2 linked regions of the Schizosaccharomyces pombe genome follow. The protein of the gene in region 1 binds, or shares a complex with, the protein of each later gene. Each region holds a gene or a part of one and is shown in the gene's direction. Other genes may lie near its edges. The genes, in order: spt4 and spt5.

The links.
Region 2: spt4 (region 1) and spt5 share a complex: the UniProt entries of both Schizosaccharomyces pombe proteins name them as parts of the spt4-spt5 complex.

Annotation. Positions count from the first base shown.
Region 1 is NC_003423.3:3,812,114-3,826,915, reverse strand, and holds spt4 (DSIF transcription elongation factor complex subunit Spt4), read left to right. Parts: upstream 1-1,921; 5' UTR 1,922-1,962; coding exon 1,963-2,280; downstream 2,281-14,802. Other genes in the region: protein psg1, read left to right, coding at 702-792, 843-1,312; SPOM_SPBC21C3.15C (aldehyde dehydrogenase), read left to right, coding at 2,780-4,348; SPOM_SPBC21C3.14C (uncharacterized protein), read left to right, coding at 5,007-7,532; rps1901 (40S ribosomal protein eS19), read right to left, coding at 8,028-8,386, 8,543-8,618; SPOM_SPBC21C3.12C (thioredoxin domain-containing protein), read left to right, coding at 9,501-9,875; UBX domain protein Ubx4, read right to left, coding at 10,114-11,391; rib7 (5-amino-6-(5-phosphoribosylamino) uracil reductase), read left to right, coding at 13,648-14,454; acylpyruvase Oaa1, read left to right, coding at 14,728-14,774. UniProt on the Schizosaccharomyces pombe protein: The spt4-spt5 complex mediates both activation and inhibition of transcription elongation, and plays a role in pre-mRNA processing.
Region 2 is NC_003424.3:1,057,589-1,074,898, forward strand, and holds spt5 (DSIF transcription elongation factor complex subunit Spt5), read left to right. Parts: upstream 1-6,155; 5' UTR 6,156-6,278; coding exon 6,279-9,251; 3' UTR 9,252-9,366; downstream 9,367-17,310. Other genes in the region: trm402 (tRNA (cytosine-5-)-methyltransferase), read left to right, coding at 807-827, 877-926, 1,035-2,189, 2,250-2,516, 2,555-3,082, 3,121-3,157; BRCT domain protein Rad4, read right to left, coding at 3,204-4,976, 5,043-5,150, 5,208-5,273; transcription coactivator Rqt4, read right to left, coding at 9,443-10,130, 10,185-10,864; wdr55 (WD repeat-containing protein), read left to right, coding at 11,143-12,228; lysophospholipase Plb3, read right to left, coding at 12,551-14,539; SPOM_SPAC1A6.11 (uncharacterized protein), read left to right, coding at 15,946-16,266; plb1 (lysophospholipase 1), read right to left, coding at 17,189-17,310. UniProt on the Schizosaccharomyces pombe protein: The spt4-spt5 complex mediates both activation and inhibition of transcription elongation, and plays a role in pre-mRNA processing.

The DNA of each region.
Region 1 (14,802 bases):
AGTGTCAAAGTAAATTACTAGACCAGCTAGTAATTTAAATTACATATATTTCCTTTATAAAAAAATTTACTTTAGCTCTATAACTGGTAACATTTAGAGTCCTATTTAGAACGAAAGCATAATTTATCAAAATTTTTTAGTATGTAAACAATAAACAGCACACCTGTCATAACCAATTTTTGAGATTTCTTCAACACTTGGTTGATTCTTTACTAAATTAATTTAATATTATTATTTTTTCTGTTTATTTCTTGTACATTGTTAAAGGTTTTTGTTTATTGTTTACTGCTTACTACTGCAGTTCGTTTCCAACATAATTATATGCTAGACTGTTATAAATAGCTTTTTCTTTCTATACTTTAAGCCATGCGGATACGGCAAACGAATAACCGAAATTTATTTTATTAGTGTAAAGTTATCTGGGTTCTGATGACAGCATTTTCAACTCATATATTTCCACTCTAAAAAGGATTTACTAATTTTTTTTGTTGAATACGATAACAGTATCATTCGAATATATACAATGATATCGCATTAACGAGTACGAGTTAATTTTACACTTCCGTCCCTGGCTGTTGATGTATCTTCCGCAGACAATTGCCGTATCACTGAGTCTATGCTAAAGACATTGTAAGATTCACGTTAGAGAAGACCGTTTTTTTATTTTTTTTAAGCTACAAAGAAAACTTCGGGTTCACAAAATGAAATTCTTTCTAGGATCTGCTTTATTCTTAATCCTTACTTTTATCAATCTTGTTCGGGCTGAATTTGAGTTCATCACTCCTGCTGAAGGTATGTTTTTTATTTAATTTTTAGTATTGTAAAACTGACTTTTGTTTAAGATTCTCGATGGGCTAGAGGATTTACTTATGCTGTCAAATGGAAACAACCCACTGAACAGTTTGTCGAAATTGCTTTGCAATATGCCGACTCCAATAACACATTGATTACGAGCAGTGGTGTTATTCCTTCCAACCAAACTTACTGGATGGTAAAGATAGATAAGAAATGGCTTATGAAGATGGACAACATTACTGCGCGAGTTGTTGCTGTTCCTCAAAATGGTACCGCCAGCACGGTATATGTGGGTCCACAGGTCCTATTAGCGAACACGTTTTACTGGAAGATGGTAGTGGATGTTTCCCCTGCATTTTCTGTAAACCCGATTGACAAGAAACTTGCAATTGGGTTATCCGTTGGTTTATCCTGTTGCATACTGATCGTTCTATTTCTTCATTTTGCAACTAGGAGAGAAAGAAGGATTTTAAAAAACGAGAAAGAGCTGGAAATGTCTTCATATAGAAAGCATTAGCGTTTCTACTTTTCTGCGCCAAAAAATATACTATCTCATTCATCAGAACTGTTTCTATAGAGTAAATGGTCCATTATTAATTGGAAGGTAATACGCATTGCTTCTTAACTTTAAATTCAATGGCCTCTTTCACCATTCCTTGTCTGTCCGCTTTACTCCATTATTCGTTCCTTAATCACGCATGCTTCCAATACAGCTTTTGGGTCACATGTTTATTTATCTAAGGTACTTTTCATGTAAAATACCATTATTAGATTTACCCAAATTGACACTTTGGGTGTGTAGTTTTGCATTCTTATCTCACAACTTTTCCAATTGTCGCTACCGCATGCTCCTTTATTGTAATAATGAGGCCATCATTTTTTAGTTCTGATGGCTAGACTTTATTGTTTAATTTAGTTTTATAAAATTTTTGTTTTCCTGGAACTTGTGAGTTGTATGGTTAAAATTGTAATTAAGAGACTGATATCGCAACATTAAACGTTTAGCTAGCAAATACAAAATGTGTATCTTTTACTGTTTTATTAAGCAGCTTCGTTCGATATTCTGGTTCATTTATAATTAATATTTGTTTGATAGGTATTGCACTTTCTTTCGTGTTTGTAACTCAACCATAACCAAACACACTTGCATTGTATAAACCTCACAGCATGGATAAGCTAAATAGGACTAGATCAAGAGCATGTCTCATTTGTGGAATTGTTTTGCCTCATAGTGTTTTTGCTAACAAAGGCTGTCCGAACGATGGTGTAGACGACGTGGAAACATTTACCTCGCCAGTATTTGAAGGAATAATGGCAATGATGAGTCCCACCGAATCTTGGGTTGCCAGATGGCAGAGAATCGATACTTTTACTCCCGGAATCTATGCGACTCGTGTTCAAGGTGTATTAAACGAAGATGTAGTTGAATCTTTGCGTCGCAGAGGCATTAACTATCGTCCTAGGAATGGTACATCATGGGATTAGTCTTCTAATGGGTCTTAAATTTGTAAAGTTATCAAAAATTTATTTGAAATTTTTCTTCACAAATGTCAATATTACATCGTTTTATTAAATTTCTTCACTTAAAATTTGCCATTGCTCTTCCTCCCCGTTGTGAAAGACTGGGCTATGGTGCAATGCGTTGTACTTCTCTAATGTCAGGTGGTGTGGTGTTTTATAACCCATCTCGTAACTGGGAAACACCATATTTATTCCTGTTATTCAAGATTGTTGATTCTCGTCAATACGAACGCCTTTTCTCGGCACTTGTAACATTGGAAATCTGATCAACGTAACTTCCTTTGTTGAAGCATCGAGAGCTAACATCCTTGATTTTCTAGCTAACAAATTTGGCTCAACTAAAAATATAGACTGTTTTGCACAAATTTTGAATAACCAAATTCCTTTCTTTACACTTTTTGATTGTTTGCGTATTTATTGCCTTAGTTTTGTCACGTTGTCAATAACTTAAAATCAAACCAATATGTCCTCTACGTTGACATGCTATTGTCCAGGAGACGGGTCGTTGCTTGGAGAAGTCAAGCTATTCAACAAGTCTGATATTGATCAGTCAATCATCTTGGCTGAAGAAGCCCAAAAAGAATGGAAATCTACTTCATTTGCTGAAAGGCGCAATTTTTTGAAGGCTTTGAAGGAAAACATTATTAGAAACCAAGATAAATATGCAGAAATTGCCTGCAAAGATACCGGTAAAACATTGGTAGATGCCGCGTTCGGTGAAATATTGGTTACATTAGAAAAAATTAACTGGACGCTTGCTAATGGAGAGCAGTCTTTGCGTCCTACGAAACGTCCTAACTCGTTGTTAACTTCATATAAAGGAGGTTATGTTAAATATGAGCCATTGGGAGTTATAGCTGCATTAGTTAGTTGGAACTATCCTCTTCACAATGCCTTGGGTCCTATCATTTCTGCATTGTTTGCTGGAAACGCTATTGTTGTGAAGGGAAGCGAGCTTACAGCGTGGTCTACACATCAATATTGTGAAATGGTTCGTAGTTTATTACAATCAATGGGCCATTCCCCTGAACTCGTTCAATGTATTACTTGTCTACCAGATGTTGCTGATCACCTTACCAGTCACTCTGGAATTAAGCATATAACTTTCATTGGTTCTCAGCCTATCGCAAAATTGGTTGCTGCTTCTGCTGCAAAACAACTTACTCCCTTGTGCCTTGAATTAGGAGGAAAAGATCCTTGTATTTTAACTGACGACCACAGACTAGAAGAGATCTTGTCTATAGTTATGCGAGGTGTTTTCCAAAGTGCCGGACAAAATTGTATTGGTATTGAGCGTATCATTGCTTTGGATGGCGTTTACGACACCATAATTACGAAATTATACAACAGAATTTCCACTATGAGACTTGGCATGTACACCCAAAATGATGTCGATATGGGTGCTATGGTATCTAATAATCGATTTGATCATTTAGAATCTTTAATACAGGATGCTGTTAGCAAAGGAGCTCGTTTAGTGTACGGTGGTCACCGTTTTCAACATCCTAAGTATCCTAAAGGAAATTATTTTTTACCCACTTTGCTTGTTGATGCTACTAATGAGATGAAGATTGCCCAAGAAGAGTGCTTTGCTCCAATTGCACTTGTTTTTCGAGCAAAATCACCCGAACATGCTTTAGAGATTGCTAACGGTACTGAATTTGGGTTGGGGGCATCCGTGTTTGGCCGGGATAAGCAATTATGTCAATATTTCACTGATAATTTGGAAACCGGTATGGTTGCTGTTAATGATTTTGGTGCCTTTTATTTGCTACAAATGCCTTTTGGTGGTTGCAAGAAAAGTGGTTATGGAAGATTTGCCGGATATGAGGGTCTACGCGGAATCTGCAATTCCAAGGCTATTGCTTACGATCGATTTAGTGCCATCCATACTGGCATTCCCCCTGCTGTTGACTATCCTATTCCCGATTCTCAAAAGGCTTGGCAATTTGTTCGCGGTCTTATGGGAACTGTGTATGGCGCTTGGATCAGTCTTGTTCCTAATGTTTACCAATTATGGCGTAACTCTTAAGTATTGTATCTTCTGAAGTACCACTTCTTCACTCATTTTTTTGTTCTTTGAAACTTTAGTTTTCCATTCTTTGTATACGATTACAATACCTAAATTTTTAAATTTGATAGTGAGTATTTAAAAACAATTAGTACGCGCTTGTCAATAGAGAAAAGCTAAAAAGCTTGTATAAGTTGGTGTAGGACCAATGTATTGAATATGGTGTTTGACAGACAACCTCGTAAAGTGCTTGTTTGTTTACAAATTGTGGATCACATGTTGGTATTAAATTATTTCTATTCTTAAGTTGTCACTTTTAAGTAAAATTTACCTTTTATTTTTTTTGAATTTATCTCGATAATGTGTCTATGCGAAACTCGTCCATATATTATAATTGTAAACTCTCAAATACTGATTATTTTTATTTGAATAATAAAATTGGTGTTGGCATTCCCGCTTCTATAGGTATATAAGGTACACGATAATTGATTGAGTACTCTTAGTATAGGTTGCTCGACTATTACATCTTTCCCCACTTCCTATCTGCTGACCACAACTAGCAGCTAAAATATTGCTGCTTTGACTACAGTAGTAAAGTTGTGTTTTTAATTATTGTTTCCATTTTCCTTTTTCAAATAAGTTAGTTTTACTTTCTAACTGTACACTTTAGTTTCATAGAATGAAAATCGAAAGATACTTTAAAGCAATAGCAAGGGCATTTATTATTACTTTTTTATTTTCCCTTATTCTTCAAGATAATGGCGTGTTAGCTAGAAAAGCCAAAAAGCAGGACAAAGGTGCTGCTTTGAAAAGTATATATGATTATCACGTCCGTCCCTACGGAACGGTTGTTCAATCTCAAATTGCTAAAGCCAGTCCTATCGTAGATGCTGCAAAGCAGGCTACTGTTAATGTAAAGTCTTACTACGATGAGCATGCAAAGCCTAAAGTTGAGAATATTCGATATGAGGTTAATGAAGTAATCGATAAAAAAGTCGCACCTTGTATAAAAGCATTCAACGAAAAAGCCAGGAAAATTGGCTCTAAAGTGTTGGATGGCGATAATTTACGTGAACTCTATACAACAGGGAAGGAAAGGATTCATTTTTTTATTGTTGATGTTCTGATTCCGTTTTTTCAAAGAGTTGTACAAGAAGTTCGTACCATCTCGAGGGACATTGCCGAGAAGCTTCAATATTTTTGGGAGATTCATGCTATACCGGCATATCACCATTATAAACCCATTATTCAGAGAGGGGCAATGGATGGTTACATGCAATTACGCTATGTGTTTTTTCCTGCCGCTAAGGCTACAATCACTCAAATGATTGAGACGTCTATAAGATTTTTGCGTACCTTTCTGGACATGCATATTAAACCCCAACTTCAGCATATTTATGAGAGTGTTGTCGAGGAAAAATCGGAGGCCTTTGCATCAGCAACAAGCTCAAAAATACTGTCTGAAATGTCTGCTTCCATGGCGTCCAGCTCAGCACATTACACATCCTCTCCTACTATCTTATCGCGAACAAAGTCTGTAGAAACGCCTGTACCAATGGAAGCTGCAGAAGAAGAGCCGGCAACTGAATATTCCATTCCCTCTTCTGTTACTTTCAACAGTCAAAATGACTGCTTCTCCAACGCAATGAATTACCTTGAGCATGAGTATGAAACCTTGGTTTCTACGTTTACTCTTTCAGTTTCCGAGCATTGGGAAGATCTTCTTCGTAAGGCTACCGATAGTTGTCAAAAGGAACTTGAAGCATTTGAAGAGATCTCTAACCTTCGTGTATTGGCAGTTGAGAATTCCTTAGGAAATCTTATTCAAAAAGCCGAAGAATCTAATTACGATCAGGCAATTATGGATCTATTTGAATACGTTAAAGATTCTATTTTAAGGGTTCACGAACGTGCTATTAAACTCAGGACTCTAAGTGATTCAATTCGTGCGGACGTAGCTGAAAACATTGAGATGGGCATTAATTCAATTCGCGAACAAGCTGCTGCCTCTTCTGAGGTAGCCCTTGCTGCTTGCTCTGGAATAAAACACAATGCTGAGCAAGTGAATAAACTAAATGCACTGATTCAGAAAGTATATTCATACATTACTGCAGAAAGCGAAAAGGTTGGTAACCGTTATGGCGAAACTCTTGACAACGTTATTAAACAACACCTTTCACGGATAGGAAGTGTTGCTTCTAGTGCAGTCCAGCGATTAACTGCTGTAAAAAATTCCCATAAACTCAAAATGGTTGATAGATCTTCTGCTGAACTTCCTAACTTTGATTATCTCGTTTCCGATCAGGTCCATAAAATTGTTGAAATTAATGATGAGCATGCTGACTGTGATGATGTCAATTTCAGTACTGCATCTTTTGAAATATATGAAAGAAGCATTCCAACCCATGGAGCTGATTCTGAGCGTAAAATTTTGAAACGCGATTCTTTACTCAATGAGGATGATGAAATCTTCAATGATTTAAATAGTGATAAAACTATTAAAACAAATCAAGCAACCAGTACATCTTCTTCCAATACACAGGAAATAAGTTACACTGGCACGCTCAATGACAATATTAATGAAGGACTCTCCACTTTTCCATCGATCGATATTCCTGCATCCGAAGCTGACAACGTTTACTCTATTTTACCAATTGATGTTTCAACATCTGAGGCCGAAGGAGCTTACTCCATTTTACCTATCGATGTTCCAAAATCTGTTGCTGAAGAAACTTATTCCTTTTTACCTTCTGATGTTCCAAAATCTGAAGCCGAAAAAGTTTACTCCATTTTACCTATTGATGTTCCACAATCTGTTGCTGAAGAGACTTATTCCTTTAAGCCTAGTGATATTCCAGAGTCTGAAGCCGAAAAAATTTATTCAATTTTACCTATTGATGTTAAAGATCCAAGCTTGGAAAAAGATGGTCATGTAATTGATAGTTCTAACCTCCAGACTGATAGTGTGAAGGATTACTCCGAAGTAAGTCGCGCTGATAATCTGGATGCTAGTTCTGATACGATATTTTCCGTTTTACATGCGGAAAATGAAGCTTCAATAACTAAGGAGGTTCATTCTACTCCGCTCTCTGATGTCGCTAGTTCTGAAGCTGAGAAAGTATATACTATTTTACCTATTGAGGTGCCAACTGATCCATTGCCAAATTATTCCAGTGATGTTGAATCAGAGCTCACTTCAGATTGAGCATAGTTAAAGGGAAATGGATTAATGATATGGGAATTCAATTAAGTTTAGTATTTTTACTAGACTTGTGGAAAGAAAGTATCTATGTGATTTATGTTATTTAACGTCTACAGACTAAACCAGTCAAGATTTAATGAGCTTATTTAAGTTCTTTTGCTTTGCTGAACGCTCGTTGATGGAAAATGAGGAAAAACTAAGTATTTGAGCTTGAGTATTTTACTCGGAGAATGAGTAGACAGATGGTAATACCATGATCGTCGACGTGCCTATTACTATTTATTGTATACTTCGTAGAAAATTAGGAGAATAGAAATTAATAAATAATCCATGTGTTTTTATATTAATATGTCTGATACGGTAATGAAAAGTCTACAGGGATTACATGCCAGTTTAAAGGTAAAAGGTTTATTTATATTACGATTTTTTTCGTCTACTTATTCAATAAACCCATTAAGAGAAGCCACTTAAACACTTAGATTAAGACTATAGAAATGCTTACTCGCTTTCTTCTTCCAAAAGAGAGTAGGCAATACGGTCCAAATCACGTTGACCTTGTTGGGAAATACGGCGGCCACCGTTGTCGGACTTTTCAAGAACACCGATTTTCTCCAAGCTTTGAACAACTTTGCGTTGTACACTGCCAGAACCATCACGGTGATGAGAAGGGCGCATGCCACGGTTAACGGAACCACCATAGACCTTGCAAAGACGGCCAACACCAACTTGCTTGCGGAGATAGATGTGGCGGGCAATGGCAGCAGCGCGGACATAATACCAATCGGGGTCGTAAGGAGCTAACTCTTTGTGAGTACCAGTCTTGACGATGTCAATCCATTGAGGAGTAGTCATCTTGCCTAAAGATTGTATTAGTAAGTTAACAAATAATAGATGTTAGTTTTCAGGTGTATAATCTACGACCCTTTCGATCATCGAGAACAACCAAATGGGTATATCGAATATCGTATTATATCCACCGACAAAACTAATTTTTTTAAATAGGATAGACATACCGGAGCGCTTTAAGAAAGCAGCATAGGCAGTTATGAATTTTTGAGCGTCCACATCCTTAACAGAAACGCCAGCCATTGTGCAGTGTGGTTGTTACAAAGCTTCTCCAATCTGAAAATGTTGGCTTCGAAACAAATGTGACTGTTCCTCTACCCTACCCTAATTTTCTTTTACACAAAGCAAGTGAAGCGTAAGGTAGCGTAATTTCAAAGCGTTATTGTAGTAAAGTGACTGTTATTGTCATAACTCACTAATTGGTAAACATAAAATCGGTTTACCGCGTCCTGTCAAACTGCTTAATATAATTAGTTAGTAAAAGTAACGCTTGAATATTTTCATCTGCTGAATCAGTATTATTATGTTGAACCTGCAGTAGAAGTACTTTTTATTACTTTCGCAACTAATAAAATTTCCATTATATAAAAGAATTATTATTTTATTCCAACTATGAAAAAATCGTAATTTACTCAAATTATAAAAAGCACTGACTATAAAATGCAAATGCAATGCACGATTGACATACTCTGCAGGGTTAAATATAATCAGTAATTAACTAATTATACTTTCAATAAATTTTTTTTATTCTGTAAATGTATTGTTTTTCAATTTTTAAACAGCGGAAGTTATGATTGCAGATTTTGTATTTTGTTCTTATAGCGAAAACCCCAATTCACACAGTGTCAAGTCAACAAAAATATTTTATTCCTTAACTACTGAAGGACTTCTCTTTTTACAAACTTTGTAATTTAGAGATGGAATTTTGTCTTGAATTAGGCTAATGTTTCTCAATACTGAGAATCTGTAATGGGACAATGCTACTTTCTCACTAACCGATAGCAAGTTTGAAATTGAGGAAATAGTTAAAATTCTGGTTTTAACATTTACTTTAAGATACGATCAAGCCACTGTATTCAATATTCATTAAAATATTTGTATTTATCCAAACGTCTGACCACCAAAATGTTGTTACCATTGAAAGAATCACTGGAATCTACTTTAGCTAACGTTGCTAAAAATGAGACACTTTTCGTTGCTTATCTTGCTTCTGTTGATCCTCGTACTAAACAGCCTTGGTGTCCAACGGTTCGTGCGGCTTTGCCTCTCTTTAACAATGCCTTTAATAGCTCTAAAAAGCTCAATGTTGTCCATGTCTATGTTGGCAACATGCCTCAATGGAAAACACCACACAATGAATTTCGAGTGAAATTTGGTATCAGTGCAGTCCCCACTTTAGGTAAATATACTCGAGACGCCCAAGGAAATCTTAAAACCTCATTACTGGTAGATTATGACTGCCTTGACGCCAACAAGTTTTCAAAGTTTATCGACATATAAACCTACAATATTTCTTTTACGCTTTTAACACACGAATATACATCTTACTTTTTAAATTTAATGGAAATTTGTAACTTATAGCATATATTCGCAACACCAAGTATTATATCAGTCATTTATTGAAGTATTAATAGAGACATATAAAAACCCCAAGCACCAGCAATTTTATCATTTTTGAATCCTTGATCCATTAAAAACTGTAAAGAAACATTAAACAAAGGTCGTAAATTTTCAGATTTTACCTTTGTGCATAAACAGGATCTGAAATCGTATGGACACGAACCACTGCACGACCTATGTGTTCAACTATTAACCCTGTCGTAGGTAATGCCTCATAGTTGCTAAAAGTGAGTTGAAAAGATGTTGACTCTTCCGGAGAAAGATGGGAGGCAACAAAAGCTCGTAGTGTTTCGATGTTATCATCTTTGCTAAATTCATGTACGATGGACTTGCCATTACCGAAATCAAACTTTACAATTGCAGAAGAAGGTAAAGGTTTGGGAGAAGATGATTTAGTTAGTGAGGTAGATGACACTTGGTTCGCCCGTTTCCTTAATATACTCTGATATAATTCGAGTTGACTTTTGGTTGGTTGTAAATCATAACCGTCTGATCCATTATTTTCAGCTTTTTCTTTTTTTACCTGTGCTAGCATGGATGAAAACGACTTCTTTTTTGGAAAGGGAGATTTAGAAGAGACACTCGGAGTATTGTTAACTGCAACCTTTTCAATTACGCCCTCATCTTTTTCCTGATTTGAAACGGTAGGGAGTGATTCACCTGTAAGAGATTGTGAAGGTAAGTTTTGGTAAGAAGAAGGAGTAGATGGAAGCGATGGAATAGGCGTAGGCAGTGGTTCCAGTAATTTGTGAGCATCAACTGGGTATTTGGGAAAACTTTCTACAATATCGTCTTTTTTATTTTCACTTTCAATATCCATCAAATCTGCGTTCTTTTTTTCTTTGACATCACCATTGAAAGTTTGAGAGACTGGTGCCTGCTCCGAAACAATAGATTGTTGAGCTTTAATGGGAAACAATCTAATCAAAATAGATCCTTCGCGAATACCGTACAATAACAAAGGATTGTCAAATTCCTCAGACTTAAAATTTCGACCATTAATTAGAACGTGGCTTACTTTCGTAAGCAAAGAATGTCGCTCTAACAATTGTTTAATAGATGTTTCACTAGAAGCCTCATCAATGATACGGGCAGCTCCAGGAAGTTGAAGAGCAACTTTGATCTTTTTAGATTGGGGGCTAATTGAACTCGAAGATTTTCCACTTTGATTGGTGGCAGATTCTTTAACTATCAGTTTTGCGCCATTGATTATACCAGAAAGCCGTAAAAGCAAAGAGGTATCTACCTTTTTATCGCCATGTAATAATTCAAGGTTATGCCAGTCAGAAAATCCAAGTTGTTTATAGGAGGAAAGGATGACTTCTTGAAGAGTTGAAGATGGCGACAATTTGACGGGAACTCGATGAAACCCTCTGCACGCGTAAATAGTCGCCATTTTAATTACTTCCTAATTTGCGAACGGTAGAGGTTAAGTATTTTCAATATATGGTTCTTATAAAGCAGAGAATATGCGCTGCTTAGTGTTACACTATGTCATGACAAAGATATACGGAACTCGCTAAATATTCTTATAACATAAAAACAAAAGCAATTTAACAATCTCATCAAGGTTTTGAAAACTTAGGACGAAGTAAAAAAAATCATTGTTAAAAAAAAAATTGATTGTTTTGCCGTACTTATTAACTTCCATTTTACTAAAGAGGCAAAAACCAGTAGGAATATATCCTAGCATCGGTTATTTGAATTTCATTGCAACTTATTAATAACTTGCATTTGTGAGATAAAAATAAAAATATATATTTAATAAAGGTTTCATTAAATATAAGAAGCTTTTGGATGACAATTTTGTTATATTTAAACAAATCCTGTTCAAAATTAGCCAAAAAAAGGTGTTTGAAAACCATGAGTAAAAAAAAAAAAAAAAAAAAAAAAAAGGAAAGGGGCGTGAAAGGAAATAAATGTACTGCTTGCTAACAGTAAATCATTGAGAATTTTTCTATTTTTAAATTCAAAGTGCTTGGAAGAGAACGACCTCTCATACAACACAGGTAGATTCGTGCTCTATACGTTTAGTCAGTCTTTATCAAATTAGTATATATTTGTTAAATCCCTTATCCATTTTTATTGTTAAAAAAATAACCGCAAAATGTTATCAATTGGTCAATTTCTATGAGGTGGTGTTTCACCCTACTCTGGTACCACAAGTAGCCAGGGTGATACACTCCCAATTCTTTGCATCTGTTAGTTTATATTTGCGAAAATTGTTTAATAACTGTTTTGTCATTTAGGCTCATTCAATTATGATTTAAATAAAAAAATCTCCTGAGCCAGAATCGAACTAGCGACCAACCGGTATCGTTTTAATTACAGCCGGATGTGATAACCAACTACACCATCAGGAGGCTCTTGGCATACAGAACAGCATAAAATAAATATAGTCTAAAATTAAATCGGTTATATAATTTATGAATACTCCTCTAAAAGCTTTTGTGTTTAAAACAATAGTGAAATGAATTTAGCACGTTTCTCTCAAAATTAGCTGGAAGAGAGCTTGCCTTAGTGAGATAGGATGCAAGGGCAATCGATACGCGGTAATGTGTTGTATAGCCGGTGCTTGGTAGTAAGCATTTAATGTCTTTCAGGTATTGACAAACTAAACGCTAAATAAAATATAACCCTTATTTTTCTTATCATGCCGGTTAAGTTATGTAATTTCAATTTAGCGATTATTGAAAAAAATTAACTCCCAAGGCGAGACTCGAACTCGCAACCTTCTGATGACCATCATAAGAGTCAGACGCTCTAAACCGATTGAGCCACTCGGGACTTTACTTATAATAACTTTATGTTTTGTACTATATAAGATAGTATTATTAAAAGGAGGCTTCGTATTTCTCAAACAACTTACGAAACGTTATTGCTAGAGGTGATTGATAGCCGAACAACTGGTGTAAAATAATAATAGTGCGTAATCATTATTTGTTCAAGTTCAAAAACAATTGTTAACTAGAATTAACAACTGTCTTAGAATGTCCCCAAACTAATGCTATTAAGGGAAAAAACAAATCTGTTAATAGTAAAATCGGTATTTTTTTTTTGGAGCATTAGGTTTTTGGCGTAGGTGTTTTATATAAGGCTTTAGGACATTTGTTTACGCCGCTCATAAAGCACAAGCTCTTTATGATTGATGGTCGAGTAATTTACAACGGTGGAGTACTTATTATATTATTTATCATTTCAATCCGGTTTAGACGTTATAATGAGTTTATTGACATACTTATATACAATTGCTGTATGCTCATAAAAGTTATCCATAGCAAAAGAAGTGGAAATTATCGTCTTTTGACTTCTTCAGTAAAAGTCGTATACGTTGAAAATATAAGATGATGCGTATTTCTTTTCTAGTCAACTCGGAAAATTTACTTTTAAGATGAATGATATAATATTGAATGCGAATACATTTAGTAGATAGCAGAACATACAACATATGGTAGGTTCCCAAATCGAGACTTTGTTATGCCCCTTTACTAACAATTAGGCTTCTTCCTATTATCCTTAATACTTTCAGTTACTTTTTGTCTTTTGACCTAATCTTTGACGGACTACGTTAACTCTCGATAAAAGCTCAAATATTGTAACATCAAAGTTTGCAGTACATAAACTTGTTTTAATTATTTACATTTTTTGCCCTATGGAGTCATCTCAAGCTTATTTTCCTCCTTCCGCTAACAAAAAGCATGTCTTGTTAACATGGGCTCAGTCTATCAATGGTCGAATAGGTTATGTCGTGGAATCGCCTTCTCTTGGACAACTCAGGTTGTCTTCGAAGGAGTCGTTCGTGATGACCCATTTGCTCCGTACCAAGTTTGATGGAATCATGGTCGGCAGCAGAACGGCTGAAAACGATAATCCTAGTTTAACTGCAAAGCTTCCTGATCCAGCTAATCCTGATTGCCTGTTACCTTTAAACAAACAGCCTATTCCTATTATAGTGGATTCTAATCTGCGCTTGGATTATGCATCTCTTAAAGTCATTCGGCTGGCTCGTGAGCGTTTGGGGAAACCACCTTTAATTATCGTTGCACCAAGTATTTGGCAACAGGTTCAACACGATAGCAAGCTAAAAGAAGCAGTCAAGCTCATTCAAAGTGTTGGAGGCCGCTGTATCATTAGAAACGAGGATTCACCTGACAGTTGGTCGGATTATGTGGCGCTCGACAAGCTGTTGCAAAATGGTGTAAACAGAATCATGGTTGAGGGAGGAGCAGAGCTGTTAGCCAAAGCTTTTGGGTCTACCGACATTGATGCTTATGTGGTTACCATTGTTCCCAAAATTTTTTCATGTTCCAATACGACGGAAATTAAAAACTTGAATAATTTAAACTTGACCACAAATTCCCATTGGTATCCATGCGGACCAGATGTGATTTTCACAAATTATTCCGATGAATTTTACGAATCCTATAAAAGCCTGTTAACTAATTCCGACGCTATTTAGTAAACTCCTTAGCGGGAGTCTTTTGGAATATTTAATTACCGAAACGGTGTATCTATTTTTTTTCGCTAAGGCTTTTACCTATTAAACAGATTGAATCAACTTTATTTGATTTTGCATATTTATAATTTTAGGTACAGAAATAGCGAAGTTGAAAGCTGTACCCTAGTAAGACAGTTTCAATCCGCCAGTCAACCTGAAAAATTTTAAAGTCCGTGGACTTATAAGCTACCCATATTTTTCGAATACTACAGTCACTCACTAAAATTGTCAACCATGTTGTCACGGGCCGGCAAGGTTGTTTGTATTGGAAGAAACTATGCGTACGTTGTTACAAGTTCAAGATTTATT
Region 2 (17,310 bases), on another chromosome or scaffold:
ACGCCTTTGGTAAGCAATAATTAATACATTACACTGCAGTAAGTTACGCATCATAGCGTGGTGTTGTATGCTGATAATGTCGCTATTTGATATAATATCTAGGTAATGGACACTGTAATTTGTGAATTTAGGATGAATGTATGGCATACAGGTTTTGTGACATGTTCTTCATAACGATACCGGAGCCTTAGACTATAATAATGCTATGATTGTAAGATTTATTTATATTGTTCCTAAATACGGCAATGTTCCTTCTCAGAAAAGACTTTGCAAATGTAACATGTTTTGCTATGGAGGACAAGGTATGAATTAATCATCCTTCGCTTTATAGTAGCACATTAGGTGCTTTTTATTCCCATGCTTAGCGGTAACCTATTTAATGGCAATAATGAACGCTTGAAATTTAACTATATTAGCAGTATGCGCAGCTCTTGTTGTTTCCCTAAAAGAATAAAGTCATATATGGATATATTCTCCTACATACGCATACTGATAACGATATCAACGTAAACATTTTTAAAGTCAGTTGGAAGAATTTAGATGTCCAATCTGAATTTTCTGTTTTTAAAGTCACCAAGACCTTCCAAATACAAATGCAAATCAGCAGTTTTGTTCAGCGTCAGAACCTTAGTTAGCATGATCTTTATCGTTATTTTAGCGATAAACATTTTTTCAAAGAAGTGCTAGGTCTCGTAAATAAAAAATAAAGACACATTGCATTGCAAAGTTTGCTTAACACTATTGAAGTTGAATTTTTATGTCTAGTAAACACTGAACTCTGGTTTGTGAGTAAATTATTGTTTGTAATGGGGAAAAGAAATAAAAAGGTATGATACTTTGTTAATCGGCCTTCTTTTTTTTTTTTAACAAAGATAGGTGACTCAGGGCAAAAGGGCTTACAATGACAAAAGTGAAATTGTCTTAGAGTAAGTGTACAAAGGTGCTTTTTTACGGGGTTTAAAGCTTTATTGGGATATTTTTAAGAAATACATTGAAAAGATCATTATTGTAGGAAATAGTCAGCTAACATGCAGAAATAAACAATTCGAAGGTTACTATAAAAAGCAAAATTTATTTCGAGGAAAGCCAAATGATGAGTTTGATAGCTTTATGGAATATATGAGAAAGCCCTTACCAACTACATTTCGTATTTGTGGATATCGTCACCATGCTTTTGAACTAAAAAACCATTTTGAAAAATACTACGTACCAAGCCTTAAAAATGTCGTCCATGAGGGTCAAACTATTCCACCTCCAACAGTGCTGCCTTGGTACCCAGATGGTCTTGCATATATTGTCGATGCGCAAAAAGATGTTATTCGAAAGAGCCCGCCTCTTAAACGACTTCAGCGGTTTCTTGTAAGTGAAAATGAAGCTGGAAACATTAATCGTCAAGAAGCGGTTAGCATGCTTCCTCCTCTATTCTTAGACGTTGAGCCACATCATGTAATTCTGGATATGTGTGCTGCTCCGGGATCTAAGACTGCGCAGCTTATTGAAGCTGTTTATAAAAAAGCCAATATCAAGGATGCTGCTCATGACAGCAAAAATCTCAAGAGTGTTGAAGGTCTTGTAATTGCTAATGACGCTGATCCCAAACGAGCCCAAATGCTTGTTCACCAAATCAATCGTTTAAATTCCCCGAATATTTTGGTTGTTAATCACGATGCATCGACAATGCCCAATATCTATGTCAAAGGTTCATCTCCTTCTGACGGCTTAAATGTAATTGAAGAAAAAAAAATTTTAAAGTTTGACCGTATTTTAGCCGACGTGCCTTGTTCAGGAGATGGCACTTTCCGCAAAAATTTGTCTCTTTGGAGGGAATGGAGTGCCAATAGCGCCTTTAGCCTTCACCCTTTGCAATTGAGAATTTTGATCAGAGGATTGCAACTTTTAAAAGTGGGTGGTTGTTTGGTTTACTCAACATGCTCCATTAATCCCATAGAAAATGAAGCTGTTGTAACAGCTGCATTGAAGGCTACTGGTGGTGCAGTTTCTCTTGTTGATGTGTCTAAAAAACTACCCCTACTTAAGCGTGATCCCGGTCTTTTATCTTGGAAGGTTTTGGATGATTCTCTTAACGAATTTCAATCACCTGCTGAGAACACCAATGATAAGATCGAGTTAACCGAATCCATGTGGCCTCTTCCTGAGGAGGAAATGAGCAAACTCCACATAGAAAGATGGTAGGTTTATTTGCCTGGATGAGAACTTTGAAACTTTATCATTTTCTAATCTCTTAATAGTGCCAGACTATATCCCCATATGCAGAATACTGGTGGTTTTTTTGTGGCCGTACTCCAAAAAACTGATCCTATTAATTCCCGTTCGTTTGATCCCAAAAAGTATACTGCTAGTATGGAAATTCTACCACCCGAGAACAAGAGACAAAGGACGGAAAAGGGTGTTGACGAAGCTTCTAATTCTACATTAACTAAATCTGGCAACAGTTATTTTGATGAAGAGCCCTTCGTATACATTAATCCTGATGATACTAGCATCAAAACTATTGTGTAAGTTATATTACCATGGCAGGCAAACTAACCCATAGTGATTTTTATGGTATCGATCCTAGTTTTCCCCGTGATCAATTTTTTGTTAGAAATCAAAGCGGTATTCCCGTTAGATCAATTTATTTTGCATGTTCTTTGTTCAAAGAAATTATTGAAGCCAACACGAATCGTGTGAAATTCGTGCACGGCGGTGTTAGATTCTTTGTAAAGCAGGAAATCAGTCAACTGTTGAAAGATTTCTCGCTAAAAGCTAACAAAGATATTTGCAATTTTCGTATTCATAGTAACGGTGTCAATATCATTAGCCCTTTCTTAAACGAGAAGCATTTTTACGATGCTGGGTTAAAAGATTTAAAAATTTTGGTTAAAAACGAGTACCCACATGTTGAGCAGTTTTCTGAGAGCGGAATGTTAAAAAAGGAATTTGAAAAAATGCCTCTAGGATGTAACATCCTTAGAGTGGATGCTCAAACAAAAGATGGTGCACTCATGGATATGTTAATATTACAGCCTATCTGGCGAAGCCCTACGAGCTGTAATTTAATGCTTGCTAGAAAAGAGAAGCAGTAAGTCACGTTTAATGTTTTTTGTTACTAACTTTAAGAAATCTTTCGTTGGAATTATTTGGAATGGACGTGTAAAAATAATTAAACTTGACATAAACTATACATATAAATAAACAATGTTTCAACGCCTACGGAGTTTTCGATGACTCTCGGTAATTAATAGAAGCCCATTTTCTTGATTTTGGAGATCATTAGCAGGCGGGATAGCATCTACATTAGAAGTCAACTGAGCATAAAGCTTATGTTTCTCACGTTGAGCGTCTGGATCTATATATGAAACATGCTCTTGTGGAGATGTCGGAGTTTCTGGTTTTGTAACTGATGACTTCCAAACAGTATCAATCTTGTCGCCCGGTACTGTCACGGATCTCCGAGGAAATATGGTTGAATCTTTTGAATTAGAATTTAGTTGAATCAATGTATTAGACCTAATATGGTTGTTTTGGCGCTTTTTAACCGATAATAAGGAAGGAGAATTATGAGGCGTAGAATGTCCTATTGGCTGCTGAGCAAGAGAATTTTGTAATCGTGTATCTCTATCAGACGTTGGAAATACCATATTATTTTGGTTTGTAAATTTTTTTATTTCTTGATTTTCTTTCTTATCGATAGCCCATGGAGAAACTTGATCAATGAATTTTCCGCTTTGAATGATGTTCCATAACCAAGCTACTCCGACGACTCTAACGTTCCATTCTGTAGCATGTTGTATTTTAAATCTAGTTTTCATACTGAAAGGTTCATTTGTGTTTACCAACAAAATACTTCGTTGGACCCCAAGAAATTCATGCACAACTGCTCCCAAGATGGTGAGAGCCTTCTTCAAATGCGAAAGTTCTTCCCCCTTAAATCCAGTAAGATGAATGCTAAGACCATTAAAATAAGGAACCAGAGATGGACGAAAAAAAGGTTTTGCTAAGGCATGTTCATCGATTCCAAAGATTTTTTTGTAATAAAGACACCTTTCTATCCACCACTCATTAACTGTAGGAAATGAGAAGATGGGCAATTCATCGACAGGGAAATAATGAGGTATAACGACAAAATCAATGGTAGAAGACAAAAATTCAGAAATCTGGCCTCCATTATCGCTCAAACATTTATGAAGCCTGGAGACCTTAGTGTTTGGAAACTCGTAAAGATAAAAAGTCAAATTTTTAAAAAGTTTAGCTTCGTTTTCGATGTTGAGTTCCGTATCTAATTCGTTTTCTTCTAAGGGTTGAACAGTTTCGGGAGTGAAATCATCCAGTAGTACTGAATTTTCTTCAGAACGGCTGGAAAATTCAAATTTTCCATTATTAAGTTCTTCCCATAAAATACTTCTATCTCTCTTCTTTCCCCGTTTCATAATCACGGGTTCTAAATCCGCTTCCTCCGCCAATGCAGCCAAGGATTGACCAGACTTTTCTTTATTCTTGCTTATTTTTTGGTTTTCAGAATAAGACTTTGCCTCCGTAGTATTGGGATCTAGACGAACATACGCGCCAAGTCCAATTTTTTCGGCTGGCATATCCAATTGGAAATACTGCGGCTCAAGGACAGCATTCCTTTGTATACTTTGCCATAACCATTCAACGCAAACTACGTTGATTTTCCACTTTAATGCATATTCATATTTGCGACCCGATGAGGTGCCAGCTATTAAATGAGTTACGTCTCTAGTTAAGTCAGGGCAAAATGTACCACCATGCTTAAGCACATAATTTTCAATACGAGATCTCTCTGGTTGGCCAATGTTGGTAAGACAAACCCGGCATTTAAATAGAGTTGGTAGAAAGTGTTTATCGACGAGCAGGCCATCATCCAGATCTTCTCCCTGTACCCAGCTTTCATAAAGAACAGGTATCCATTCACTAGACATAATCTTTATGTCTGGTCTGGATTTTGCGGCAAACTATTGAAAAGAATGTCAGCATTTACTCTTGAAGGATAGTGTAATTTGTAAGATTTTACGACATACCTTGTATTTTGGAGTATCAAAATCGCCGGCTATAAGATGCGTGACATCCTTAGTAAAGTCTGATCTATAGGCAGCACCAAGTTTAGTTGCTTTTGTAGATATCTCGGTCTGTCAAGTTAGTAACACAAATAACAAAAAATGCGATTCGTCGTGCAAAAATCTTACCCTTTGCTTTAAATCGATACTGGTACAACATATCACGAAGCCTTTGAGTGGTTTAGAAGAACCCATTCTTTCACTACCGACATTTATGAGTTCTAGGTGAGTAGGTATAGGTAATTTACGAGTACAAACGCGTCCATCACCACTACATATTATTGTGAGGAAATGCAAAAATTGGTAATGTTTAAAAGGGAAAATAAAGAATGTTTAGAGAAAATCGACTTTCGAAGGTTAAGAGTAGATTGAAGCTAAAACCAAGTTGTTATATGCTACCGTGGTGGGTGCGAAGATTGACAAATGGAGAGTCATAAAAGGCCAAAATTAAATTTTAAGCATTTATTCGAAAAACTCGACTGTATTGGCAATGTACACGATGCTGTATAGCTGAGTAGCATCATTGGTTTGGGGGAAATTATGAACAAGCACCAAGAGCTGGCTATTATATTATTCCTCATTTAACCTGTATCATAATTATAAGATTTATTGAGTAAGAAGATAGTATATGGACACCACCTTTGTCCTATATTCTCTCGGTAAAAAATATCCTCTTATCCAGTTTAATATTTATATTGGATTTTAGTAACGCAAAGGGATATTGCCCTAAAGGGTTCATAGTTATATGGAATATAACATAATATTACAATTTAAATGTAAGATGAATTTATTGATAATCTGAGCATCCCATTATCTTTAATTTCAATTAAACCAAGTCTAACTTTAAGATTGTGTATGGCATTTCGTGTATACAAGTTTGTTTACCAGCAGTGGCAATTGCTCAAGCTTACCATTAAAGCAAATACTTTTAAAGCAAAAGTTTGATTTTACAAAAAAACCGTAAGTATTCCATTCTAAATTGCTTCTTTCGTATATCTATACTCTTGTCGCTGCAAGCCATACAAGACCTACTTGCTTGGTAAAATAGGGCAGCAGTACGTACTGTAAGTCACCTTTAACAAAACACCACTTGTTGAATAAAAAGTTCATTAATCGGCGAACCTATCGCCTATATTAGATTAAAGGTCTAAAAACAAAGCATTGAGGGAATAGGTACTATTTCCTCTTTTTTAAGTCACAATGGATACGAATTCTCCGAAATCTATTGATAAAGATGCAAATTCGACTGAGGTAGATGCAGCTGAGCAAGATGCTGCTTCAGTTAAAATCAATTCTACCCGTGCATCCCCCAATGGAAGTGACTTGCTGAATGATGATTCTGAAGCTGCTAAAATTACTACAAATGAAAAACAGAGTTCTCCCGTGGATTCCCATAACGAAAGTCCAAATGATACCACAATTAATAAAGGCGAAGATGGGAATGAAAACGAAGTCGATAATGTAAATAACAATGACAAAAAAGAAGATGAGGATAATGTTGAAGAAAACGAGGAAGAAGCTGATGCAAACGAAGAGGAAGAAGAGGATGAAGAAGATGATGAGGAAGACGAGGAAGATGAAGATGAATCAGGTGGCGGTAGAAGAAAAAGGGCTCGCCATGACCGCCGCAACCAATTCCTTGATATTGAAGCAGAAGTAGATGAGGACGAGGAAGAGCTTGAAGATGAGGAAGATGAAATTGGTCGTGAAGATGGTTTCATTGAAGAAGAAGTTGGAGCGGATTACGTCGGTGATGATCGTCGCCATCGTGAACTTGACCGTCAAAGACAGGAACTACAATCTGTTGATGCTGAACGCCTTGCTGAGGAGTATCGTGAAAAGTATGGTCGTAGCCAAACTGTTGTTGGAGATACAAGCAATGTTCCCCAACGTCTTCTACTTCCTTCAGTGAATGATCCCAATATTTGGGCTGTTCGCTGTAAAATTGGCAAAGAAAAGGATATTGTTTTTACCATAATGCGGAAAGCTATGGATTTGCAATATACTAGCTCTCCATTAGAAATCATTTCAGCATTTCAACGTGACTCGCTGGTCGGTTATATATACGTTGAAGCTCGAAAGCAATCACATGTTCTAGATGCACTTAATGGGGTTTTAAATGTTTATACAAATAACATGATTTTAGTTCCAATTAAGGAAATGCCGGATTTACTCAAAGTTCAAAAACAGGTTGTTGAACTGTTGCCTGGTGCATATGTGCGTATACGCCGTGGAAAGTACGCCGGTGATCTCGCTCAGGTTGACAACCTTTCAGAAAATGGTTTAACCGCACGTGTACGTATAGTTCCTCGTATTGATTATTCCGATGGGTTGAAACGAAAGAATTCTGCCACTCGTCCTCAAGCAAGACTCTTTAATGAAAGCGAAGCATTTAAAAGCAATCCTTCTAAGTTTTCTAAACGTGGTCCTAGACTTTTCCTCTTCAACAATGAAGAGTTCGAAGATGGATTTTTGGTAAAGGACATTCGTATTTCCTCACTGATAACTGAAGGAGTTAATCCTACACTTGACGAGGTATCCAAATTCAATCCTAATAATGAGGATTTGGATCTCAGCTCTTTGGCTCTCAGCGTCAAAGGGGGCCATGCTGAATTTCAGCCTGGAGATCATGTCGAGGTATATGTTGGTGAGCAGACTGGAGTAAGTGGTGTTGTTGAAAATGTTCGAGGTAGCGTTATTACCATGGTATCCTCTGATGGTTTACGGTTAGATGTACCATCTCGGGGCCTGAGGAAAAGGTTTAGACATGGTGATTATGTAAAAGTTATAGCAGGAAAGTACAAGGATGACACCGGTATGGTTGTCCGCATTTCAAAGGACGAAGTTACTTTTTTGAGTGATACTCTTATGACTGAGTTGACTGTATTTTCTCGTGATTTAGGCGAAGCTAGTTCTGCACAAGCTGTTAACTCTGCATATGAATTACATGATTTAGTGCAGCTGGATGTTAACACGGTTGCCTGCATTTTTTCTGTCGATCGTGATACGTACAAAGTTATTGATCAGAATGGAGGGGTTAGAACGGTTCTTGCTTCTCAAATTACCATGCGCCATTCCAATCGCCGAGGTGTGGCTACAGATAGAAATGGGGCTGAAATTCGGATTGGCGACAAAGTAAAAGAGGTTGGAGGAGAGGGAAAGCAGGGAACGATCTTGCACATATACAGAGCTTTTGTTTTCTTGCATAACAGAGATATCGCAGAGAATAATGGTGTATTTTCCGCTCGCAGTCGTAACGTAGCAACAATTGCGGCAAAGGGTGCCCGTATTTCAGCAGATTTGACGAAAATGAATCCAGCTTTATCCAATGGGCCGGCTTTGCCTCCGGTTGCTAACTTGAAAAGAACGATTGGACGTGACAAAGCTATTGGCGCTACTGTACGCATCCGCAGAGGTCCTATGAAAGGATTACTTGGCGTTATTAAGGATACTACTGATGCAAATGCACGTGTTGAGTTACATACGGGAAACAAAATGGTTACAATTCCTAAAGAAAACCTGCTATATACTACTAAGACTGGTGAATTGATTAGCTATACCGAATTTATTGAGCGTTCTAGAGGAATAAGACCTGGTAGTATCAGCACCGCTGATGGACCAAATGTACCAAACTGGGCCCAAGGAGCCCGTACGCCTGCTGTTGCAAATGGTTCACGCACTCCAGCTTGGAATACTGGAAGTCGCACACCTGCGTGGAATTCTGGTTCAAAGACACCTGCGTGGAATTCTGGAAGTCGCACCCCAGCGTGGAACTCTGGGAATAAAACTCCTGCTTGGAATGCTGGCAGTAGAACACCTGCTTGGAATTCCGGAAATAAAACTCCTGCATGGAATGTTGGCAACAAAACCCCTGCTTGGAATAGTGGTGCTAAAACGCCTGCATGGAATGCTGGTAATAAAACTCCGTCCTGGAACAATGGTACTAAGACTCCAGCTTGGAATGCTAATCAGACACCTATGGTTGCTAATGGCACTAACACCTCATGGGGACAAACCCCTGCATACGGGGGATTCAGTGAAACTAACTGGGATACCGAAGATAATTCAAAGCCCTATACTGCTCCTACACCTGGTGCGTGGGCTGCTCCCACACCAGGTGGTTGGGATGATGAAGAAGGAGATTCACCCAAATATGTACCTCCTTCTCCTTAATTTAAAATCAAATTTTTGAAAATATCGACAGATAGTTTTGTTAAAATTGTTAAGACATATTCTAATTAACGTAATCTTGTTAATAATATTAAAATGATACGCACTTTACCAAAATGCATATATGTATATTTAAAAAAACTGAATCTCATAAAAGCATACATTAAATATTTGTAACTTTAACATAAACATACTTATAACATCGATGGCATGCCATCATCATCCTGAACTTTAGACCACTTCTGATTTATTTTATTAAGAATAGATTCAGGCACGGCGACATGACTAGAGTGTAGGTCTTGATGGTAAATAGGCCTAGGCAAATTTCTAATAACAGGAGCCTTCGGGTTATGACTATGAGATTGGCCCTCAACTTTAGTTAAATTGTCAAGTTCATCCTGATCTTCATCAGAACTTTCAGAAGATGCTTCCTTTTGATCGACTACAACTTTTTTTCCTGAAAGACTAATCGACAATACCTTCTTTTTTTTCTTTTCCTTTTTAGCCATGGCCTTTTGCATTCTAACAAGATTTAAAGCTTTCTCAGCTGGAGATGCCCAAGTATCAGAAGCTAGCGAAGTAGGATCAAAATCAGCAGCTTCGTCGATAATACGAGTTCGTTGAGCAGAGGTTCTATCAAAATTTAATAAGACATTTTTTCTTTCTTCAGCCTCCTGAGCTTTTTGCTCTAGTTGTTTAGGATCGAGAAAAATTGAATGCAAGGAGGAATTTTGCAACCTTTGAAAATTATTTTTACTAGAAACGGTTTTGCTTTTTCGTTTTTGATTGGCAGCTTGCTTTAAGCGGCTTCCCTCATGCTTCAACTCTTGAATTAATTCCAACTGTTGAGCTTTGCTAATGACAGGATTATCACAAAAGGTGCTAATTAAGATTAGTAAAAACTTGTTAATAAGATATAGTAGTAATATTACTTACCAAGGCCCAATCCCCTCAACAATGCAAATTATTTTTCCACAATTCAAACAATTGGGAGCCGCCTCATTAAGCGGATGCTTACGTCCTTGACAATTGCAGACTCTTCTTTCTGCTTTATTTATATTTTGAGATATCTCTATTTGACGTATAGCTTTTTCGATGTCGGCGAGACCTTCAATTCTGTTAGAAGAAGAGTTATTATGTTTTACACTTTTCTTTTCCGGAATAAGGTCAGAAGTCATTACGCCTGGAGAGACATTTTTCGTAGTTTTGCTAGATTTTTCATGTGATGAAATATTGTTTGATTGTGATTTATTCCTCGAAGCAGGATTGACTTTATACATTTCTTCATCATATCCTTTTTGCTTATTGTTAGCGATATAGAAACTTGGATGAGAAGATGTGGCAGTATTTTTTTGCCGAATATTATTATTTGGTGTCACATTCTTCTTGTTTTTCATGATCGATGGAGAATTACCAGAATGCGTAGAGTGAAATCTTTTTTGATTGAAGTCACTAATGAATTCTATAGTCTCAGCAGAATCCCCCAGTAAAGAAATCCAATAATCTTTTGCGGCTTCGGAAGAATCGACTGCTAAAGCAGTGCTTGTTATCATTGCGGCACTCTCATCGTCGACTGGCAAAATTTTCAGTACGTTCTCCTTCGTCCATTTTTCCATGTCTAACTTTCTAAAAGAATTCGTAGTTTAACGATTTCGAATAAAGTCTTTGAATAAAGAATCCCCAAGTAAAAAATACTATTGAATTATTTAAATGAGTTCAAGAAGTTCGTACAAATAAAATTTTATATGCTTTATGTAAATTTTCCAAAACAATATCAAGTTGGTAGTGTAATAGTATTCGCGATTCTAGGGTATGCAAATTTGCTACAGGGCAATGGGTGCTGAGAGGTGGATTGCCCAGCTCTAATCACAGCCTACTTGTCCTAAACAACCTAATGGGTGGAACAATAAATGCTGCTATAAAACAAAAATTTGAAAATGAAATATTCGACTTAGCTTGTTTCGGTGAAAATCAAGTGTTACTGGGTTTTTCAAACGGCAGAGTTAGTAGCTATCAATATGATGTCGCACAAATAAGTTTGGTCGAGCAATGGAGTACCAAAAGACATAAAAAAAGCTGCAGAAATATTTCAGTAAATGAATCAGGTACCGAATTCATTTCTGTAGGTTCAGATGGTGTTTTAAAAATCGCCGATACCTCAACGGGGAGAGTGAGTTCAAAATGGATAGTGGATAAGAATAAGGAGATTTCTCCTTATAGTGTGGTTCAATGGATTGAGAATGATATGGTCTTTGCTACAGGTGATGATAATGGTTGTGTTTCTGTTTGGGATAAGCGCACCGAGGGAGGCATTATCCATACCCATAATGATCATATTGACTATATATCTTCTATTAGCCCATTTGAAGAACGATACTTCGTTGCTACTAGTGGTGATGGAGTTTTGTCAGTAATCGATGCTCGTAATTTCAAAAAACCAATATTGAGTGAAGAACAAGACGAAGAAATGACCTGTGGAGCTTTTACACGGGATCAGCATTCAAAAAAGAAATTTGCTGTTGGTACTGCCAGTGGAGTTATAACTTTATTTACAAAGGGTGATTGGGGGGATCATACCGATCGCATTTTATCGCCAATTCGGTCCCATGATTTTTCAATAGAAACAATAACTCGTGCTGATTCTGACAGTCTGTATGTTGGCGGAAGCGACGGATGTATACGTTTGTTACACATTCTTCCAAACAAATACGAAAGAATTATAGGGCAACACTCTTCGCGATCAACCGTAGACGCTGTGGATGTTACTACCGAAGGCAATTTTTTAGTTTCCTGTAGTGGAACCGAACTAGCTTTCTGGCCGGTTGATCAGAAGGAAGGAGATGAGTCATCCTCCTCTGATAATTTAGATAGTGATGAAGATTCCAGCAGCGACTCTGAATTCTCGAGTCCTAAGAAAAAGAAAAAGGTGGGAAATCAAGGGAAAAAGCCTTTAGGAACTGACTTTTTTGACGGTTTATAATTCAAAACAGCTTTGATATCTATAAAATTGCACAATCATTATTAAAATTAATTGTCTGTATATTTAAAAATAAAAGCGATCTTCCTAAATTAACTAAACTAAACATCTTCATTAGAGAAAAGAAACATTGTGCTTCGAAAACTTAAAATGAATTCACTAACACTAACACTAAAACTACAAAACCTTTGAACCCCACAAGTTTGGTAGTGATTAATACCTTACAATTAATAAATAAAAGCCTGACTCAGTCTATGCTTTTTAATTCTTTCAAGTCGAAAAGTGACTCATACCAAGGTGTGTGAGTGGGGGAGGCTTTCGTCGTCTATAATAGTAACGAAACTGTTAGAAGCGAAGCAAATAAATAAAATACTATAGGTTTGGCTCGTACAGAAGAGGTACCAGAAGTGGTTGATGCAGATAACACAGTAGGAGCATAGTTTGAAACGGCACTAGGGTTGTTCACGGTTGTTCCATTCCAGCAGTATTGTTCAAAACAAGAAGAGCATTGACTAGGAGTAGACATATTTTTGCGCTCCAAGGAACGTTGTATCATGGCGCATGCCAAACAGACTGCAAATGAATCGCTGTTGTTTTGAGTAGCCGATAGAGCAGCATTTTCAAGAATGCCACTGGACAAAGTGTCATTCATAGACATGGTAAACGTGGAAATATTGGAATAGTAAACCCAAGGATAATTGGGGAAATAAACAAGAAGAGGAGGTGTATTGTTATCTACGGTATGATTACCTGCAGTAGTGTTTCTGCCGTCACATCCAAAGAATGTTGGATGAGTGTTCAGTCCCAAGGAAATGATTGTGTCCTCATCAGGGATATACGGGAAACCTCGAACATCAACACTTTTATTGGCGTTATAAGTTATAATCCTTTCATATGTAGTAACAATAGAAGAGCCATCAGGCCAACCATTAGAATCATCATAAGTTGCGTCAACAGCAAATATAACGTCAACAAATCTTTGAGGATGTAACAAAGGCCAAATAGGAATGTTCTCATCGTCTTCACCACCATCTACTAAATCAATAGTATCGAATCGCTCAAAAGGGTTTTTGACGGTGGTGTTTGTAGTCGTGAAATTCTGATAAGGATTGGGGTAAGGAGCGATGTCATTTTGATCCTCAGAAAGTTTTTCAAATACTTTATGAATAATATCATAGAGAGTACTATTTGACGTTACTTCCTGACTCCATTCTAACAGAAACGTGTTGAACAATGTAGCTGAAGTACCCATAACAAAACCGGCATTATCATAGTTACGAATGCACTTATGGTCTGGTGGAACACCATTCTTTAAATGGGTACCGACGTATTCCATAGGGAGAAAAGCTTTAATACCATTGTCCCAAGTACCAAACTCGTATGGAGTAAATTCGAATATACTGGTGTTGGCAGGGATAGCTTTTTCCTCTTCCAAACGACTGTCAGATATAATGATGGGATAAGGATAGTCGGCATTTTGGAACCAAGTTTGGTTTCTAATGCTAGAAAATGTGATATTTGGACCACCTTGGGTAGCATCGACAAGCTTACGAGATAAAGCGCGTCCCCAAAGATCGGTCAAAGAAGTATCGAATCCTGCATCTTTCTTTTGATCAATCTCATCATCCAGGTCGTCATAATAAGCAAGATTTTCGACAACATTGTCACCATGAGGAGCAAAGACACTATGTTCCAAATTCCAAACGTTGTCACGTAGATAAGTAATATTGGCAAAGTTATTAACAGCTACGGAACCGACCAGCCATGAACCACCAGAAAGACCAGCGATATACATGGCGGATTGAAGAATTCCAGCAAGTGAAGAACCATTGCCATTTCGAGAATCGAAAGCATTTAAAACACCTCCTCCGTGGACCATAGCGCGGAGTCCACCGCCAGAAAATGCAAGTCCTAAACGAGGGCCATCTGAATCATTAATCACAGAGTTTACATCTACGTCCAAACCAGTGTTGGAAATAAAGGACCTCATTTGTGTATTGATTTTGGGGATACGTTTATCAATGAAACTTTGCTCGCCTGAACTTATTCCGTCAGAAGCAGGTCGTAGCATATAGTCACTAGGACAAGTTACATTATAAGGCGCGTATGATCCAACACTGTCGCGCTTGGAAAGCGAAATCGCCAAAGCCTCTCGTTTTTGCATTAATGAAAGAGGCGTGTCATGCATGCCCGGTCTCATTAAGTCAGATTCCCCAAACTCATACGGATCCGACATTTGCTCGCGACAAGGCGGGTACGCCAAGGCCGGCAGGATCTGGAGCAGAGCGAGTATTCCAAAACAATTAAATAACATTGTCTTTTTTTTTTATAGTTAAACCGTCTTTAGGTCAATAAATTTGGGAAATTATGCCAAAATCTACACACCGCTTTGCTTGAACTCAGAGATTAGAAGGCCGTTACAAAAACGCGCTCAAAACAAACGATGGAATCAACGACTGTCTCTCTAGACCCACAAAAGTTTAGAAAATTGACTATACCCTCAAACAATTTTCTTGTGAACGAAAACAACACAACAACGGAATATTTGTAAACGGATGGTGAAACAAATTAAACCAAAAGCGCCCTACTACGTAAAAATTTTAAAACTCCTTATAGCTGAAATTCACCCGTATTCCAACGCAGCTCTTACTGTATCACTGTATCTGCTTACCGTGCTGTTATTTCTGCTCCGGTATATGAGGATCTGATTATTGTAATTTGTGTCTAAATAAATGACAAGTTAGTATCCAAAGTTATTGATTTTTATTAAAAAGCATAGCGTCTCAATGTTAAGATAAACACTGGATTTTGCTCTTGAATTTGGCGAAACGCTTGACAATTCCATGGTTTATAAAATTTTCTGTTTGCGGTATTGCGGAATCAAATGCGAAACCATTTACCATTTCTGTTCATCGGCAAACGTCGCATCGTAACCGAAAACCTGGGATTCATCTGCTTTATGTTTCATACAAATGACTTGCAGTTTTGCAATTTCATTCAACAAATTCATGAATTCCTATTCTTTTTCTTTTATTCCAATTAAATACAAGCTCATGCCTAGTCTCCAAGCAAATCCCCCCTTACACTTTCTTACCCTAAAAGTTAGTAGTAGCTAAAGTAGCGACTTGTGCGATAATTTTAATATTGGGAAAAGGCAAGTTGAAAGTGATTCAGCCTATATATATATGTATATATATGTAAGCAGAGACACATATGTCTATCTTTGACAGATTTTTTAGATTCCCATTTTGTAGATCAAAAAAGGTCCATTTACATCCCCATGATGTAAATGCCCTTCCGTTCTATGCGAAAAGAGACCGAGACTGTCGGTCCTTTAAATATCGCTTAATATGTAAAGTTGTTGTGTAAATCTATATTTTGAGCAGTCGCTGAGACGCAAGCCTTTACGTTGAATTTGTTGCTCATCTTCTGGTCAACTATGACTGCTTTAAAGTTCACATTGGGATGAATGTTGCTAAGCTATATATCTAAAATCCTTAACGACGGAAACATTTGCAGGTTAAGTATAGGAGAATGTAGCGTTCAACCGGGCTGGTTATTTCAACTGCGCCGCCCTCGGATATTAAGTGTGCCTCTTCGAAACCGGACCTTTCTAAGGAACTTGCAGATTGTCCTTGACTATTATTTAACACACATTACTGGCATCAAATTAGTCGCATTACATTACAACTGGCCGCATTTTACATAATTGATTAAAATATGAATCACAATGTTTATTTATTAACTTCCTTCAATCTTTGGAGTCATGGTGTATATAAAATATCATCAATCTCTCTCAGTAACTCTTTTTTTCCTCATAGTTTCATGTTTGTAAAGTCGCTACATCTAATGACATCACAACATATCTTCAAGTGTCTTTCTTCTTGTAATTATGCTCTTTCAATTCTACATAATATATGTTTAGCCAGTTTTCTTTATTTATCAAAATGTTATTATCATACACACATACTTACTTCTGTTCGATTAGATTTTTGTAAATCGCATGCGCATACCTATATCAAAAGCAAAGCCTCAACTTAAAGTTAACTCGGATCCCATTTCGTTTAGACTTAAAGCATAAAATGCACACTTGCTAAATAATTTTGCAAAACACGTAACTCACAGTCATCGGATTAGAAAGTAAAGCCCGAGGCCGAGCAAAACCCGCGCAACTACTACAATTTTTTTCTCCCATTACTCGTTGTGATGTATTCTATACTGTCTCATCTACATCCCCACTACTTCATTGATTAAATTGCGTACAGTTGATATAATTTGTAAATGATCGTATAATCTGTTTTACGTTAACTAAATTTTTTCATTTCTACATCTCCTTCCTCATCCTAATTAATGAATTATAGGCTGTATGTTAAAGTTCACTATTCCTTGTTCAAGTATAGCAAACCTTTAAAAATCAAATTTTATCATACAAAATATATACATATAAATAATAATTTTTTGAATCAAACAAAACAAAAAAATTACAGTCAACTTATTTATATAGACAAACAACATTCTTATTACAACCAAGAATTAAAAAAATGACTTATTTTCGCAACTATATATAACAGCAACTCTCATAAACAACTAGAACACGTCCAATTTGGAGCCGTCAACAAAACTGAATTACAGCAAACGAAAGCTCACAATAGAAAATGAACAAAAAACATTCCGAAGAGAGGGTAAATTAGAATAAAATACTTTCGGAAGATAACAAAATAGTCTCCCTAATTAGAGCGGAGTGAACGTTCAGTTTAATAATCCGTTAACAAAAACCCATATCGCGTAATTGGATTGATTCACATATATGGCTAGGTTTGATTTATGCTAAGACAGCAGACATTGTATAGATTTTTTTTAAAAACTTTTTTCCAGGCATAAGCATTGCCCTCTATCTTTTGCTTGTGAGCAACAGATATGTCGTATAAATACTGAAGAGAGAAAAGTTTGCATGCGCCTTTCCTTAAATGCCTTCACCAAGACGGCAAGTAGGATTGTAGACAATATCATCATTAGCAGCGCTGTCATCATAAAGACCGCTCCAGCAGTAGTTATAGTAGCATTGTTGGCACTCGGGGCTAGCAG